Linked DNA regions of Arabidopsis thaliana. The protein of the gene in region 4 interacts with the protein of the main gene of each other region in a pairwise test. Each region holds a gene or a part of one and is shown on either strand. Other genes may lie near its edges.

Region 1 (3,738 bases), 5.7 Mb from region 4:
AAGAAATGAAGTCATAGGATGGATTATGGTTTTGATAAGGTAAGTGAATAAGCGCCTATTTGCTGGATTAAGTGGCATAGTCGTTGGGAGTTAATTAAGGACACCCACGGGCCACGGCCAAGTATGAAAATTGTAGTCTATCTATCTTGAATGATCTTTTCGCTTGGATTGACTAGAGTCTCTCGTGGTCCCAGACTCTTGCCCTAAAAAATCTAAATAAGGAAAGTTCCTTATTTAACCGGTTTAATGCCCGTAGTAAATATTATCGGTTTGTGAGATGGTCTGAGCCGGTCCGGATCGGGTCATAGGGGGTCTGGGACGTAATCAAGCTGGATAACTCTCTTGGGTTGGGCCGTAATCCTTCTTGGGTCGCTATTTGGTCACTATCGCAAAAATTGGCTCATATAAAAAGGTTTGTTGAAACATGCCTTGGTTTTTGTTCTTGCAGAGTTTCTGTTTGGGTCACCTTCTCCTCCTCCTCTTGGATGGACATGGATTTAAGGTCCACAGCGGGTTCAATTGCATCTCCGATAAACTAGATATCGGTGCGTTTTTCCACAGCCAGTCTATGTAATACAATGTAGCTTCATTCTTGATACATGATTTTTATGACTTCAATGATGAGACTGAACATTATATTGCGCAAAACAAAACTGATGAAACCCTCCATGTCAAACGATTTGTGATGAGTTTTCGGTAATCATACGTTATATAAAGCTACATGATGAATCCCTGAATGGCTAATTCTAAGCAGGGACGTAATAAAAACCTGTCACAATTTTCTAAAACACACTCAGAAAATAAAGAGAGAGTGGTTGATAACGCAGAGCGCAAGCGCATAAATCAAAACAAATGAAGTAGATCATCATCTTCCGTGAAGCTATAGACCGCAGAGAGAGTGAGCCTGCAAAAATGTTTTATGGACTCGGTAAGTAACTTCATAGTAGAAGAACCAAAGTAAGTGAAGATGTTAATAGGAAAGCTAAAGCTGTAGTTTTTTTTACCTAAAGACAACCATGATGAAGAGAAAGACGTAGAACCCGAGCTTGGTATACCGGAGCTTCTTTTCAAAGCTGATACCACGGAACACTTCAGTGACATCGATGAGATAACGTCGCTCTTTGTATCTGAAGAACAATGGGAGGCGCGTATTTAGTTTCCACGCATGTCAATCAAGAATCATAAGCAATATGGATGGATATAGATACTTACAACATTGCGTGATAGACTGTTACAGGGACGGCGACCAGAAAGAAGACCCAATGCCATGTGAGGAGGAAGAGAAGGCAGAGTGACCCTTGGAGGATAAACTCAGGTATTACTAATCGGTTGATACGGGTACTTGTTTCAAAAGGGTTCAAGTAATCAGCTTCTAAATCCGTTAAGCAGATAACCTACAAAATCACACACGATATCAATAGACTAAAAAGGAATCTCAATGCTTCAATCATTAGCAGAGGCAGTTAGTATGAGAGTAAACACTATTGGTAGTAGTATCTAACTTCATTCATTCACAGTATATAACTCGCAATTAATCAACTATATGTCTCAATTGACCAAGTATCATATACAAGCCTTGCAGACAATCCAAATCAGAACTAAGAACAACTTTGAGTTAGAAGCATAAGATTAAGGATAAACAATGAAACCTCTCTGGACCCAAAAAATTGTCAATTGTATTTAGTACAAAACCGACGAACACAAAGGAAAATTGTTCCATTCCTAATTTTTTAGCTAATTCGAACAAAAAGCTAAGTTGCTCGGTGTTTTTTCACAAGTACAATTCCGACAATCAGGATTTGAACAGTAAGGACAGATCTCGATTTAAGAATCTTAATGGAAAGTAAAAGGGGACAAACAAAGTAGATAGATTACCTGGTAGAAGACGGAAGCGACGAGAGCCAAGCTAACGAAGAAGGAGACTATCCATAAAAACAAATCCCAAGCCATATTTGCTCTCTTCAACAATTACGATTCGTCTTTTTGCGACTGCGACTCTTCTCCTTAAATACCTTTGAAAAAAAAAGAACTCTTCTTCTCTCAACAATTGGTGTACTTTACTTTGGGGTTCTATTGGACATTAGATTCTTCTTTCCTTTTTATTATTACTTCTCTAGTTTCTTTTTGTGAATATCCTTTTTGTTAAATTCCTTTTTCTTTTTCAACAAAAAAAAAAGATGCTTGGTGTTAATTAATAAAGAACTAACAAAATTTATTAACTGTATGCCATTTAGGCCTATACAAGCCATATAAGTAAATAATTTCATTTTTTTCTTCTCTTTTAGAATAATTATTTGGTTCTTTTAAATAAGTTCACTTGAAATTTGTTAGTTCTTTATTTAGGCCTATACAAGCCAAAGGATCCGTCCACTCTCCTCTTCCCGAGAAACTTGGTTGATACCGTACGTTTATATGTTACATTGTAACAAAGGCTTGTTTAGTTATCAACTGATTATGATGCATTACTCGACCTGATTGTTTTTGCAGGTGGAGAAGTCCTAGGACCCGGTGATAGAATTTCTCTTCTTCTGAAGATCCAGACGACATACACGTGGGACCCTGAGCTTTTGAACTGGTAAACTCACTGCTTTTTTTGTTGTTGGAAAAAAGACAAAAAGTAAAAATACACATTGTTTCCTAGCAAATACACATTAGTCTTCAACTTCTAAGAAGCAACAAATGTGATCTAATTTACGCTAAAAACATTGGTCTCCATTACAAACACGAAACCTAAATTTCACAAACTACTACATAATCTTTATTTTTTTCTAGACTTCTTCGATGATCTCCGGCTTTCAACTTTTCTCTGAGCAGCTTCGAACTCTTCTTCGTTTGGCTCAGAGTCAGCATTGCTACCATACCTAGAGACAAGTGAAGAGAACATTGAATCGAACTTCTCTTTCCTCTCATCTCCCCGCTGGGACATTACAGCGTATAAATCTTTATCTGCAGCCTTTGCTGCTCTGAAAGTATAGAAATTTTGAAACAGGTCACAACAAAGATAACTTCAGAGGGCATTTATTGGGGTGGAAAAGGTAGACAAATAGAAGCTTACTTCCGTCTCATCTTCTGGGGATTCGTGGGAGGTTCCATTTCTGCAATCTCCTTTGCCCATTTCTTGTAAGCTTTTGTTGATTTCACTTCTCCTGCAGATGTTAAACAATGGTATGCACAAACAAATCAGAACCTGGATAGGTTTTATAGACAAAAGAATTATTGCAAGAAAGAGAAGCCTACCCGCTGCAATGGCCTCATCGATAATATCTTTGAAACGGTGCGAATCAAGCTTGGGGTTCGAGCAAAGCATTGAGCAGAAAAGCCTGAAAGAGATATAGTACCAATAATGTTTATACAAACTTCAACTCACAAACTTGACAATAATGAAAACAAGGGGATGATTAATTACCTGCTCATTTTACCCTTAAACTTGTTATATAGCTCAATCAAATCATTCTTCTCGGATTCAGAACCCCTATAGTTGGCCTCAAACTCTTCAATATCTTCCTCGGTGACCTATAGCACAAATGATCAGTATACAGAACGAAACAGTTGTGTTGCAAAGTCCAAAAAGAAATCAATTGTGAATCATGATTCTTACCTTCTTGTACATTGCCTTGAAGAAGTCCCTCAAGTTGTCAACCACATCTCCCGAAAGATCCTAATGAGATAGGGAAATAACCAGTTTGTAAGAAAATCCTCCAGTACCTTTACTTAAGTTGAAAACTTTCTTTCAACTTA
Region 2 (3,781 bases), on a different chromosome or scaffold from region 4:
AACTTGTGTTCAGATTCTTACCAAGAAACAAGCCATTTTAGTTCAGATGAACACCAACCGGGGATTGTAAAGAAAGTTACCAGTTGTTTTTATATATTTTGTACTGGCATTTTTCTGATGGAAACGGGATCATCCAGCCCGATGATGGGGAGGTTTACTACTTCCAGGAAGCTTTTGGCCATAAGCTTGTCGGTACTAGCCGTGCTCTCACCACTCTACATCGACAGATTATCAGAGGAAGATCTAGAAGAGGAAGAAGAACTCTTCAGCTTTATGTTTTCCTTCTCTCTGCTTCTCCTCTTGTTGATTTTAGCCATAGCCTTGTCCTTGTACAGTGACCCGAGCTTGACCAGGTTTGATCCTTACTGGATTCACAGGCTATGTGGTTCGTTTGGTGGATTGCTTGTCATCCTCATCCTTCTTGTTTTCGTCTTGATATGCAAAGCCTCTGGTTAGAATCTGAGCGAAAGTTGTTTTGATGCCACAAATGAAGAAGAAAAGCTCATCTCTTGCAAAATTTTTACAATATTTCTGTATGTCAGGAACACAACTCTTTTATTCATTTTCTAAAGAAAATTTATACAAAACTCAGAAATCCAAAGATACAGAGTAATAAAATTACTCGAAAGGTAGATTTTACATTTGAAGCGCAGAAAAGAGTAGATATTTTAGACAGGTTCAGGTCATAGAAGCTGAGCTCGGTCTGTGGTCTTTGTGGCTGCTCAACCTTCTCCTTCTCACCCACTTTGTCTCACTAGAAGCTGGAGAAACGGCTCCATCAGCTGACGGGAGTTCGCAAGGAAGTGCCATAGCCGAGCTGGTGAAGGCGTTGAGAACAAGGAACGCCAAAATGGGAGACAAATCTAATCCTCCAAGAGGCGGTATGAATCCCCGGAAAATGTTCAAGTATGGATCACATAAAGTGCTGAAACAATGGTAACGCATATACACATAAATAGGAATCAACTAGGGTTCCTGGGCAGATCAATCAGGGTTTAACCAATCTTTAATCCATTTAAGAGTTGGACAAAAAAGTAGTAGACAGAGTTTATCCAAAATAAATTTCCTCTAAATCAAGTAAAAAGACTACCTTCAACAATCACGAATAGGACTTCTATGATCTAGATTTTGTTTTCATGGATTGATCGAAAACTTTTAAACCTGGATAAGATATAAAATCATTGTGGCATTTGAAGGCAACGTTTTACCTGAGGGGGTTAACAATGGCAGGAGGAGCACTCGGGAACCAGGTGAGTACTAGACGGACGACAAGGATGGTGTTATATATGTTGAGGAAATTGATCAAACCATTAGCAACCACCAATCCTGCAACTGAATCTCCAGGCAGAACCGCTGCAAATCCGTGATTAGACATCGCAAACCTCACCCTTGTAGTGTTTCTCAAACGAATCTGCAATGCAACAAAATGATCTTCATCTTTAAGACATAAAGAACCCAAAACCAGAAGCAAAGGCACACAAAATCATAACCGGACTTATCCAGAAGCCAAGTTTCATCTTTACAAGAAAAGAACCAAAAAAGATCCCAACTTGAGGACATATATAACTCAGGGTTATCAATGTGAGAAGGTTTTCCAATAAATGCTAAATGATCTAGACAACAATCTACTGGCTGTTAAAGAATGACCCATTTTGTATAAATAGAAACCACAAAGATTCACCCATTACAGTAACAATCAGAGCCAAGGCAAGTTCATGAGAAACACACAATCATCTTCTTAACTTAATCCATAACATTCTTTAGCATAAGCAGGCTAAGAGAAGTTACCTCGTCGCACAAAATGTGAAATTCGGAAGATAGGCGAACCGCTTCCTGAAAGAGAGGGTTCTTAGAGGCGAGCGAATGGAGGAATCCTTTAAATTTCTCAGTAGCAGAAATCAGAGACTGATGAAAGTCTTGAATCAATTTGACGGAGTCTGCAACTGGTGGTAGAAGAAGCAAATTGGGTTTGTTCGAACGCACAAGAGGTGTTTGCGTAAATGCCGAAGAGAGCGATACGAAAAAGTTCGGTATCGGTCCTGAAGGATTGGATTTCAAGCTTTTCATAGCTGGTTCATTCGCACTCGCCTCCATTGTTGCAAAGCTCTAGATGTGTTGTAGAAGAAGAAAGCTTGAGAAGATAAAGTTACCTCCAAACAAAAAACAATATTTCAGGAAGATGACACGTGGCATCGCTGTGTCCCGGGGGCTGTAATCCTCTAGCTGAGTTAGAAGGTCTTACCTATTAAAACTTTGCGTTTTATGTCTCTCTCTGATTTTTCTGGTGACAGCCTGGCTTTTTAAAAATTCCACAAAAATGGCTAATGTTCGGATATATTCCAAATCCGACGTGTCAACGTTTAGCGATACTCTTTTTAACGAACCATACACCAGTCCACCACTAGTTTCTTACTTGTATACATCGCGTGACTATCGTCGTCTGTCTCGCCGGAGAAAATGGCGAGCAATCTTCTCCGATTTCCTCTTCCTCCGCCATCGAGTCTTCATATTCGTCCAAGTAAGTTCCTCGTGAACCGATGCTTTCCAAGACTGCGCCGTTCTCGTATCCGGCGGCACTGTTCGCGACCTTTTTTTTTAGTATCAAACTCGGTCGAGATAAGTACTCAATCATTTGAATCTACTGAATCTTCAATCGAATCTGTGAAATCCATTACGAGCGACACGCCTATTCTCCTCGATGTGAGTGGGATGATGTGTGGTGGCTGCGTCGCCCGAGTTAAATCGGTTTTGATGTCTGATGATCGAGTCGCGTCTGCTGTGGTTAACATGCTGACTGAAACCGCGGCTGTGAAGTTTAAACCGGAGGTTGAGGTGACGGCGGATACGGCAGAGAGTTTAGCTAAGAGATTGACAGAGAGTGGTTTTGAGGCTAAGAGGAGAGTCTCGGGTATGGGAGTGGCGGAGAATGTGAAGAAGTGGAAGGAGATGGTAAGTAAGAAAGAGGACTTGCTTGTTAAGAGCAGGAACCGTGTGGCGTTTGCGTGGACATTGGTGGCTCTGTGTTGCGGGTCTCACACTTCGCATATTCTTCATTCCTTGGGAATTCACATTGCTCATGGTACATTGATTATAATGCAAAAAAAATTGTGATGCTAGATGTCATTTGTTGGATAAGAGATGTAGTTTATGACTTTCTCTTGCACCTGATGTTACTAGGAGGGATTTGGGATTTGCTACACAACTCTTACGTGAAAGGTGGTTTGGCCGTTGGAGCTTTGTTGGGACCAGGAAGAGGTTTGCTTTTGTTTAAACTTTTAGTTCGAATCTATGATTCTTACCAGCTAATGCATAATAAGTTTAGTAATTAGTATCATAAGAGAGAGATGACAAAGTAGTCGTTCTTAGGCTATTGTTTAGACTTAGATAAGTGCTAGTGTTCTACTCTGATTATATAGGTGAGCTTTGTTGAATCAGTTCTTCTTATGGATAATGGTTAGCTTAATTGAGTCGTCGTTGTCATAAGAGAGAAACTCTGAATTTTCAAACTTCTTAAGTGATAGTGATGGTTCCTACTATTCTTTGCGACTTTCATAACAAAGTGGTGGTAGTGATATTTGAGGCTGTTCGGAAACACAAATGACTGAAACAGATAGATGTATATTGTAGAATTGCTGTTTGATGGCATAAAAGCTTTCGGGAAAAGATCACCTAATATGAACTCGTTAGTTGGATTGGGATCCATGGCTGCATTTTCCATCAGTTTGGTGAGTTTTTGTACCCTGTAATTTATATTTGACTGGTGAGTATCCTATTCTGAAAA
Region 3 (3,137 bases), 7.6 Mb from region 4:
CAATCAACCTTATAGTAACATATACAATCTTTCACGCATAAAACCCTATAATGTGAAAACAAGAAACGTCCTTTACATATTTCTTCTCACCTAGATATTATTAATTTTAATATTGAGACTTTGAAACCCCAGAAATAAGATAAAGTGTGGGACAAGAAAAGAAGGCACCTTTTTTTGTTGTTGCTTTTAGCCGTGAGGCCAGCATATGCAGTAACTCACATGCATGCGCCTCTAACCTTGTGGCATTTTAGGAATTATGCAATAATGCACTATACTTAAATACGTTAATTCACAAAGTAATACATTCATTCAGTTCATAAACACGTCTCAAGATTAAGACAAAAATAATCATAAAAAACTGGTGTTTTACATAAACTTATGTCGAAATTAATTAGTAGTCTACATATAATTACTCAAGTGTTATTTGCATGTAAACAGTACAAATTTTTGGAACGTTTGATTTTGATACTACTATAAACTGCAGTATACTGTAAAGCATGCATATGACGTCACTTTAATTTGAAACGTAATTTCAACTTTTTCAAAAGGTTCTTTAGCTTAGCGATAAAAAAAAAAAAAAAAGTTAGTGTATAGTAAACGAACAAATGAAATGAAAAGAAGAGAAAAGTATAAGTCCTCAAAGTGTATTGAATCACTTAACGGTAAATTAGTTTTTATTTTTATTTTTATCCAGAGTTCTTAAGTTAATTATGCATCAATTATGTGGTTCTGACGTAATATATTACTTGCGTTTTTCATCTAAACCAATCTAAAACTGTAACAAAATGTTAAGTGGAGAACAATAAAAAATACAAATAGTAAAAAAAAATTGAAAATCAAACTAAATCTAATTTTATTCGTTATTTTTAGGGGACAAATAAACTCATGAAAATAATGACGTACGTGGTCTAAAATATATGAATGACCTATATAGCTGAAACGGCAAGAAGCCGGAGCGAGAAACAATAGACGGCGGCGAAGACAAAGTAGATGAAAACTCCGGGAGCTTGAGAAGACAGAGAAGCAAGAGATGAAGCCGGAGGAGAAGCCGATGGAGCGAAGGCGGGATCAGGATCTGCGGAAACGTCGTCGTTTTCTGGTTCAGGAAGTGTTGAAGAAGAAGGGATGGTTTGAGTGGAGGAGACGGCGGGTGAAGGGAGGAGAGGAGCGATCTCCGGTGAGATCTTTTCTTCAGAGGGAGAGATTGTTTGCGAAGATGGGATTGTATTTGTCGTCGGCGAAGAGAGAGAAAGTGAGGAGAGAAAGATGAAGGTGATGAGTGTTAGCAATATAGATGAAGCCATCTTTTTTGGTTACTGTAATGATGAACAAATCAAAGCTGAGTTGTTTTTTTCCTTAACTGATGAGAGCGCATTTTGTGTTGTAATAATGATACTGTCTCTATAAAAGAAAACTTTTAGCTCTAATAGTAAAATATTATAAATTGATTTTAAATGGAATTTGTCTCACCTTTTTCCAAAAAGATTATTATTTATCAATTTAAAGGATGTGTTCGGTGGAAAAGAAAATATATTTGCTGAATTCTTGAAGATGGGCGTAGATCGAGTTTTCACTTTTTAGTAGAAGCTCTTATATATTGCACATATTTTCGAATAAACATGTGCTTTACTTTTTGCTGAAAAATATTATGTTAATGCAAATTATACATATTGCTAAGTACGAGTAAAGGCATCTCCATCCATGAGAAACCTACAAAGTTTCTAAAACAAAAAAAATATTAATATTATATTATAATTTAATTATTTGATTAAAAAAGTAATTTTGTTAAAAAATTGAATCAATAGTGAGATGAGAATTGTCATGATGGGTTGTAGAGAATATCTCAAAATTTTTCAAGTGAGAAACTTTCTACATTTTCTCTCCTTCATTTTCATTATTTTTATTTTTTTAATTGTGAAAAACTCTTATGAAATACCTTCAATGGAGATGGTCTAATTACGTTTGTTGTTGCCTCGTTGGATGTTCAAATAAAAAGCACATTTTATATTGGGTTGTTCCTAAACAAATATTTTGTTGTCTTTTGTACTAAAGTTTATTGGCGAGTTAAGAAAAGCTTTGTGGTGTGTGGGAATTATTATTATTATTTATTATTTATTGTTCTTTAGTTTGCTATGCAATTCGAGCCCACTAAAGAGGCTTCCTATGGGCCCAAAAAACGCAGCCCACTATTGTAGTGCAAAACGTGCTGAGTTTTCTACATTGCATGCCCAACAATGGCCACCAGTGTAGTTAAAGACTCAAGAACTTGCTGACCTCTATTTGTTTGACTTTCTTTTTTGTGTGAACAAAATCACATATTGTTGATGTCATTTGTTCTGCTATAATTCTTAACTTCAGATTACAGATAACGAATTTTCTCTTGATGATTTAAACAAACATATATAATTGTCAATATCAGAAAATGAAAAGGAGATATAAATAATTTTTTTTTGCGCCTAATCGAAACTTCACCTACCATTTTTTAGCGTATAAAAACGTTAAAAATACCAAAATTTAGAAATCCAATAAAAGTTGTGAAAAAAAGCCGCAAAGGGTCGTTGTTGTTTGTCGCCTCTCAATGGCAGCTTCTTCAACTAATGCTCGTCTCACCAACCCTCCTCGTCTACTCTCCAAACCCCGACTTTCACCTACCTCCGTCGCCAATCTCCGTTTTCCAGCCGCCGATTTCTCCACTCGCTTCTTTGCCGATTCTTCGTCCCCGCGGCTAAGGAGTGTACCGTTTCCGGTGGTATTTTCCGATCAAAGGCGCCGGCGAAGCATGGAACCTAGCAATGTCTATGTTAGTGATTCTTCCTTTAGTTCAGTTTTCTTTTGTTGTTTTCTGTTCCGTTTTTATTGGAGAAGGATAGGTAATGATGAATTTGCAGATTTATCGCTTCAAATAAATTTGGTATTAGTTTTGGATGAAGACTTTGATGTTTCGTGTACAACATTGGTTTAGCTATTTAGAATCGATCTTCAGAATTTTTGTTTAGTTCTGAGAAGTAGTTGGATTTTTAATTGATTGTGGAATTTATCCTGTTTTGTGATCTCAGGTGGCTTCAAATTCCACGGAAATGGAGATCGGAAGTCATGATATCGTGAAGAATCCGAGCTTGATCTGTGCTCCAGTGATG
Region 4 (3,162 bases):
GAGATGTGGACGAGTGTTGTTCAAGAAGGAGAATTTATCGATTCCTTTGACAGAAGAAACACTAATCTGCTGAATTGGAGATGCAGGACACTGTAATCCCCATTTTCTATCGAGTAATTTAGACACAAACTCTCGTGAATCGATCTCGGAAGTAATGGGAATTCTCTGAAATTGATTAAGACATTATCCCCAAAACGCAATGAAATCAGAAAAAGTTCAGATTTTTTTCTGCAATTGCAAATGGGTATTCTTAGAAGTGACAAAAGGAACGATTTTTAATTGATTTAGATGACGCAGAGAAGAGAAAAGAGAACCTGAGAAGACGAGTGAAAGTGATGAAGATTTGATTTTCCGGTCACCGCCAAAAAAGTTGACCGTTGGACCTTCATTGACGCTTCTCTCTGCAAAATTTCTTCTATTCCGGAGCTAGCGGAGAAGATATGGAGGTTTTTAGACGTGAAAAACACGCGCTTACTCACACGTTGATGGGCTAGGCCCTGTGAGAAAATACGGCCCATATATTGTGGGCTATTTTTGTAAATTTATGAGATGCAGAAATATATTAACCCCACAAATAAAAAACTTTCTTTATATTAGTATATTAAATATGTATCATCCCAATATAATCAATGTTACATCGAAGAAGGGATCGTCAAAATACATCTAAAACAAGAAAATATTACAAACATTTTTATTACAATAGTAATAAGTTCGCGCGCCGATCACAACTCTAGAAAAAGAAGAGCGATCCAGCAACTGCACCAACAACAGAGACAAAGCCAAAAGCTACGGTGGCATCGCTTCCGGAAGCTTCTTTTTGTGGTGGAGGATAGTTAGCGTACGAAGCATCGCTTCCAATAGGTCCGGCGACTGCCACTTCATCATCTCCATTGGCATCATCGGGAGTAACAGCTGCATCGTCGTTGTCAGTTGTTCCAATAGCATTGTCATCAGCTGGACCCTCTGCTATATCACCTCCAATGCCATCGGTTGGAGTTGTAGCGGTGGGAGCTGAGGCGGTGGTGGTTGACGGTGGTTTTTCGTTCTCAGCAGCTGATACGATCACGGCGGAGATAGCGACGAAGAGGAGGAGGAGAGCTAGGTGAAGACGCGCCATTATTTTTTAATTTAGTTATTTAGTAATCCCCAAAAAACTTTTTTTTTTTGAAAAATGTTTTATGGGTATTTTGTTTTATTTATTTATCTTGAATTGTGTAATGAGGGTCTTTGCTTATATAGTTGTTTGATCAAAGTGCTAAGATGACTCAACGCAATTTGAGGTTTTGCCAAAAATATTAAAGGTTGAGGAAAAAATTGCAAATTACATATTATCTTCTACTCCTAATTAAGCTTTTTCTAAATTCTAATCTTATCAAATATAGCAAAAACAATTTGAGAAATAGGATTTTAGATTTTTCTTCGATAGAATATTAGTACTCTAACTAGATTTTGACCCGCGGTATACCGCGGGGCTAGGTTTTTAATAAAATTTGTTATATAAAATGTATATGTAGATATTTGTTTTATTAATATTGTTTGCTTTATTTAGTGTTTAAGATAATATATATATAGATTTTAATTGTCATATCTAGGATTTCATCCGTAGTATATCGTTTCGTATTATTATCGATCAAAACCCGTCATACCATCTAATCATGCACAATGAAATTAAACATATCTAATGGATTTCACTTGTGGTATACCGTCTCGTAATACTATCGACCAAACCCGTCCTACCACTAACCCTGTTCAGTAAAATTAGACATTATTTTGTTATTTTTGTTTTAATAATACTTTAATTTAAAAAATATTTAATTCAAATCAATTTAGAAGTTTTCTTTCAAATATTTATTTAATTGTTATAAAGTTTATATATTATAATATTATAAACATGTCATACCATCTAGTCCTACTATCTAATCATGTTCGGTGAAATTATTTTATTTTATTTTTTTATTAATATTTTTATTAAAAGATTTATAATTTAAATCAATTTAAAGTTTTCTTTCAAATAATTATTTAATTTTTAAATATTTTAACCATTTTGGCAAAAATAACTAGGCCATGGAATAAGAGCATATTCTTTTGAATAAGATTTGCTTTTATTTGATAGTTAATTTTCGCATTGAATAAGCCAGTGGTAACCATTGTAAATAAGTTCCAACTCCATGATTTATTGATGTATATATAAATGTAAATCACAAAATGGCTGCAAAAATGTATATATAGATGTAAACCCAACAAATATGAAAACAGAAAATAAAATAAAAATTTGGTAGAAATTGAATCTGACAATAATTTGATTTAATGAAATTATTTGATAATTATTAACAACATAACCTAAAACTTAACCAATGAACAATTAGAATAATCTAAAAACCCTATACAATGAAATGTTAAAGACAAGTTTATGTTATTCCCCTTTTTGTACAAGCTTCCAAGTCTTATGAACATAAAAAGCAAACGCAAATTTTCTTGCGTTTTTGTTTCCTTGATGTCAAACGTAGTTTCTTACCAACCAAACCACATAAGTCAGCTAGCTAGCTGAGATCGATATCCACTTTTTCCGGTACACACCTTTCTTTTTGGTTCTTACCAAGCTCTGTTCCAAGCTGACCCTGATCGCCTGCACCAAACGCGAATAGCTTCCCCGATTCCGTGAGCGCAAATGTATGAGCGTTCCAGTATATGGAGTTCGTTAGACTTATCTGGACCATCCGCTCGTTCACTTGTTTTAGCGATGTTACTACCGTTGGACTTAGCACGTTTGCATGTCGATTACCCTGCAACAAAAAATCAAACCAGACATACGACTAAACATAAGTTTAGAACATATAATGTAAGCAAAAGAAACAATGGAGGCCATGGCCAATCACTAACCTGTTCATCAAAGGATGGATGGTGACCGAGACTAGCGGATTCGCCGCAGCCAAACGAGTAAACATCACCATCGTCTGAGACCACAAAAGTAGTGTAGTCTCCTGTTGCGACATGAACTGCTTTGACATGGCTTAGACCTTCAACAACCTTAGGGACTGATTCACACTCCTCGTTACCGTGACCTAAACATCCATATCTTCCCCAACCCCAAGTGCACACTCTTCCATCCTGACCTACCACCGCGGCATGCCAAGCACCCGCTGCAACTACCCTAGGTTGAAG

What was found.
Region 1: the proteins of AT3G26110 (region 4) and AT3G12180 interact in a protein complementation assay, tested with the Arabidopsis thaliana proteins (one large-scale study listed by BioGRID).
Region 2: the proteins of AT3G26110 (region 4) and YLMG2 interact in a protein complementation assay, tested with the Arabidopsis thaliana proteins (one large-scale study listed by BioGRID).
Region 3: the proteins of AT3G26110 (region 4) and AGP27 interact in a protein complementation assay, tested with the Arabidopsis thaliana proteins (one large-scale study listed by BioGRID).

Annotation. Positions count from the first base shown.
Region 1 is NC_003074.8:3,881,676-3,885,413, reverse strand, and holds AT3G12180 (Cornichon family protein), read right to left. Parts: upstream 2,085-3,738; 5' UTR 1,951-2,084; coding exon 1,876-1,950; intron 1,395-1,875; coding exon 1,213-1,394; intron 1,128-1,212; coding exon 1,005-1,127; intron 905-1,004; coding exon 844-904; 3' UTR 550-843; downstream 1-549. Other genes in the region: AT3G12170 (Chaperone DnaJ-domain superfamily protein), read right to left, coding at 2,759-2,963, 3,056-3,146, 3,238-3,320, 3,407-3,513, 3,599-3,658.
Region 2 is NC_003076.8:7,240,672-7,244,452, forward strand, and holds YLMG2 (YGGT family protein), read right to left. Parts: upstream 2,210-3,781; 5' UTR 2,095-2,209; coding exon 1,789-2,094; intron 1,412-1,788; coding exon 1,209-1,411; coding exon of another isoform or gene 1,205-1,208; intron 1,170-1,204; exon of another isoform or gene 926-1,169; coding exon 679-925; 3' UTR 530-678; downstream 1-529. Other genes in the region: AT5G21910 (uncharacterized protein), read left to right, coding at 118-456; PAA2 (uncharacterized protein), read left to right, coding at 2,458-3,079, 3,178-3,255, 3,628-3,725. UniProt on the Arabidopsis thaliana protein: Not required for the biogenesis and accumulation of native cytochrome b6 in the thylakoid membrane. Not functionally involved in the pathway for covalent binding of the c-type heme to cytochrome b6.
Region 3 is NC_003074.8:1,927,143-1,930,279, reverse strand, and holds AGP27 (arabinogalactan protein 27), read right to left. Parts: upstream 1,413-3,137; 5' UTR 1,305-1,412; coding exon 927-1,304; 3' UTR 596-926; downstream 1-595. Other genes in the region: MEE32 (dehydroquinate dehydratase, putative / shikimate dehydrogenase), read left to right, coding at 2,579-2,800, 3,057-3,137. UniProt on the Arabidopsis thaliana protein: Proteoglycan that seems to be implicated in diverse developmental roles such as differentiation, cell-cell recognition, embryogenesis and programmed cell death.
Region 4 is NC_003074.8:9,539,528-9,542,689, reverse strand, and holds AT3G26110 (Anther-specific protein agp1-like protein), read right to left. Parts: upstream 1,208-3,162; 5' UTR 1,118-1,207; coding exon 731-1,117; 3' UTR 526-730; downstream 1-525. Other genes in the region: AT3G26115 (Pyridoxal-5'-phosphate-dependent enzyme family protein), read right to left, coding at 1-165, 315-389; AT3G26100 (Regulator of chromosome condensation (RCC1) family protein), read right to left, coding at 2,541-2,783, 2,881-3,162.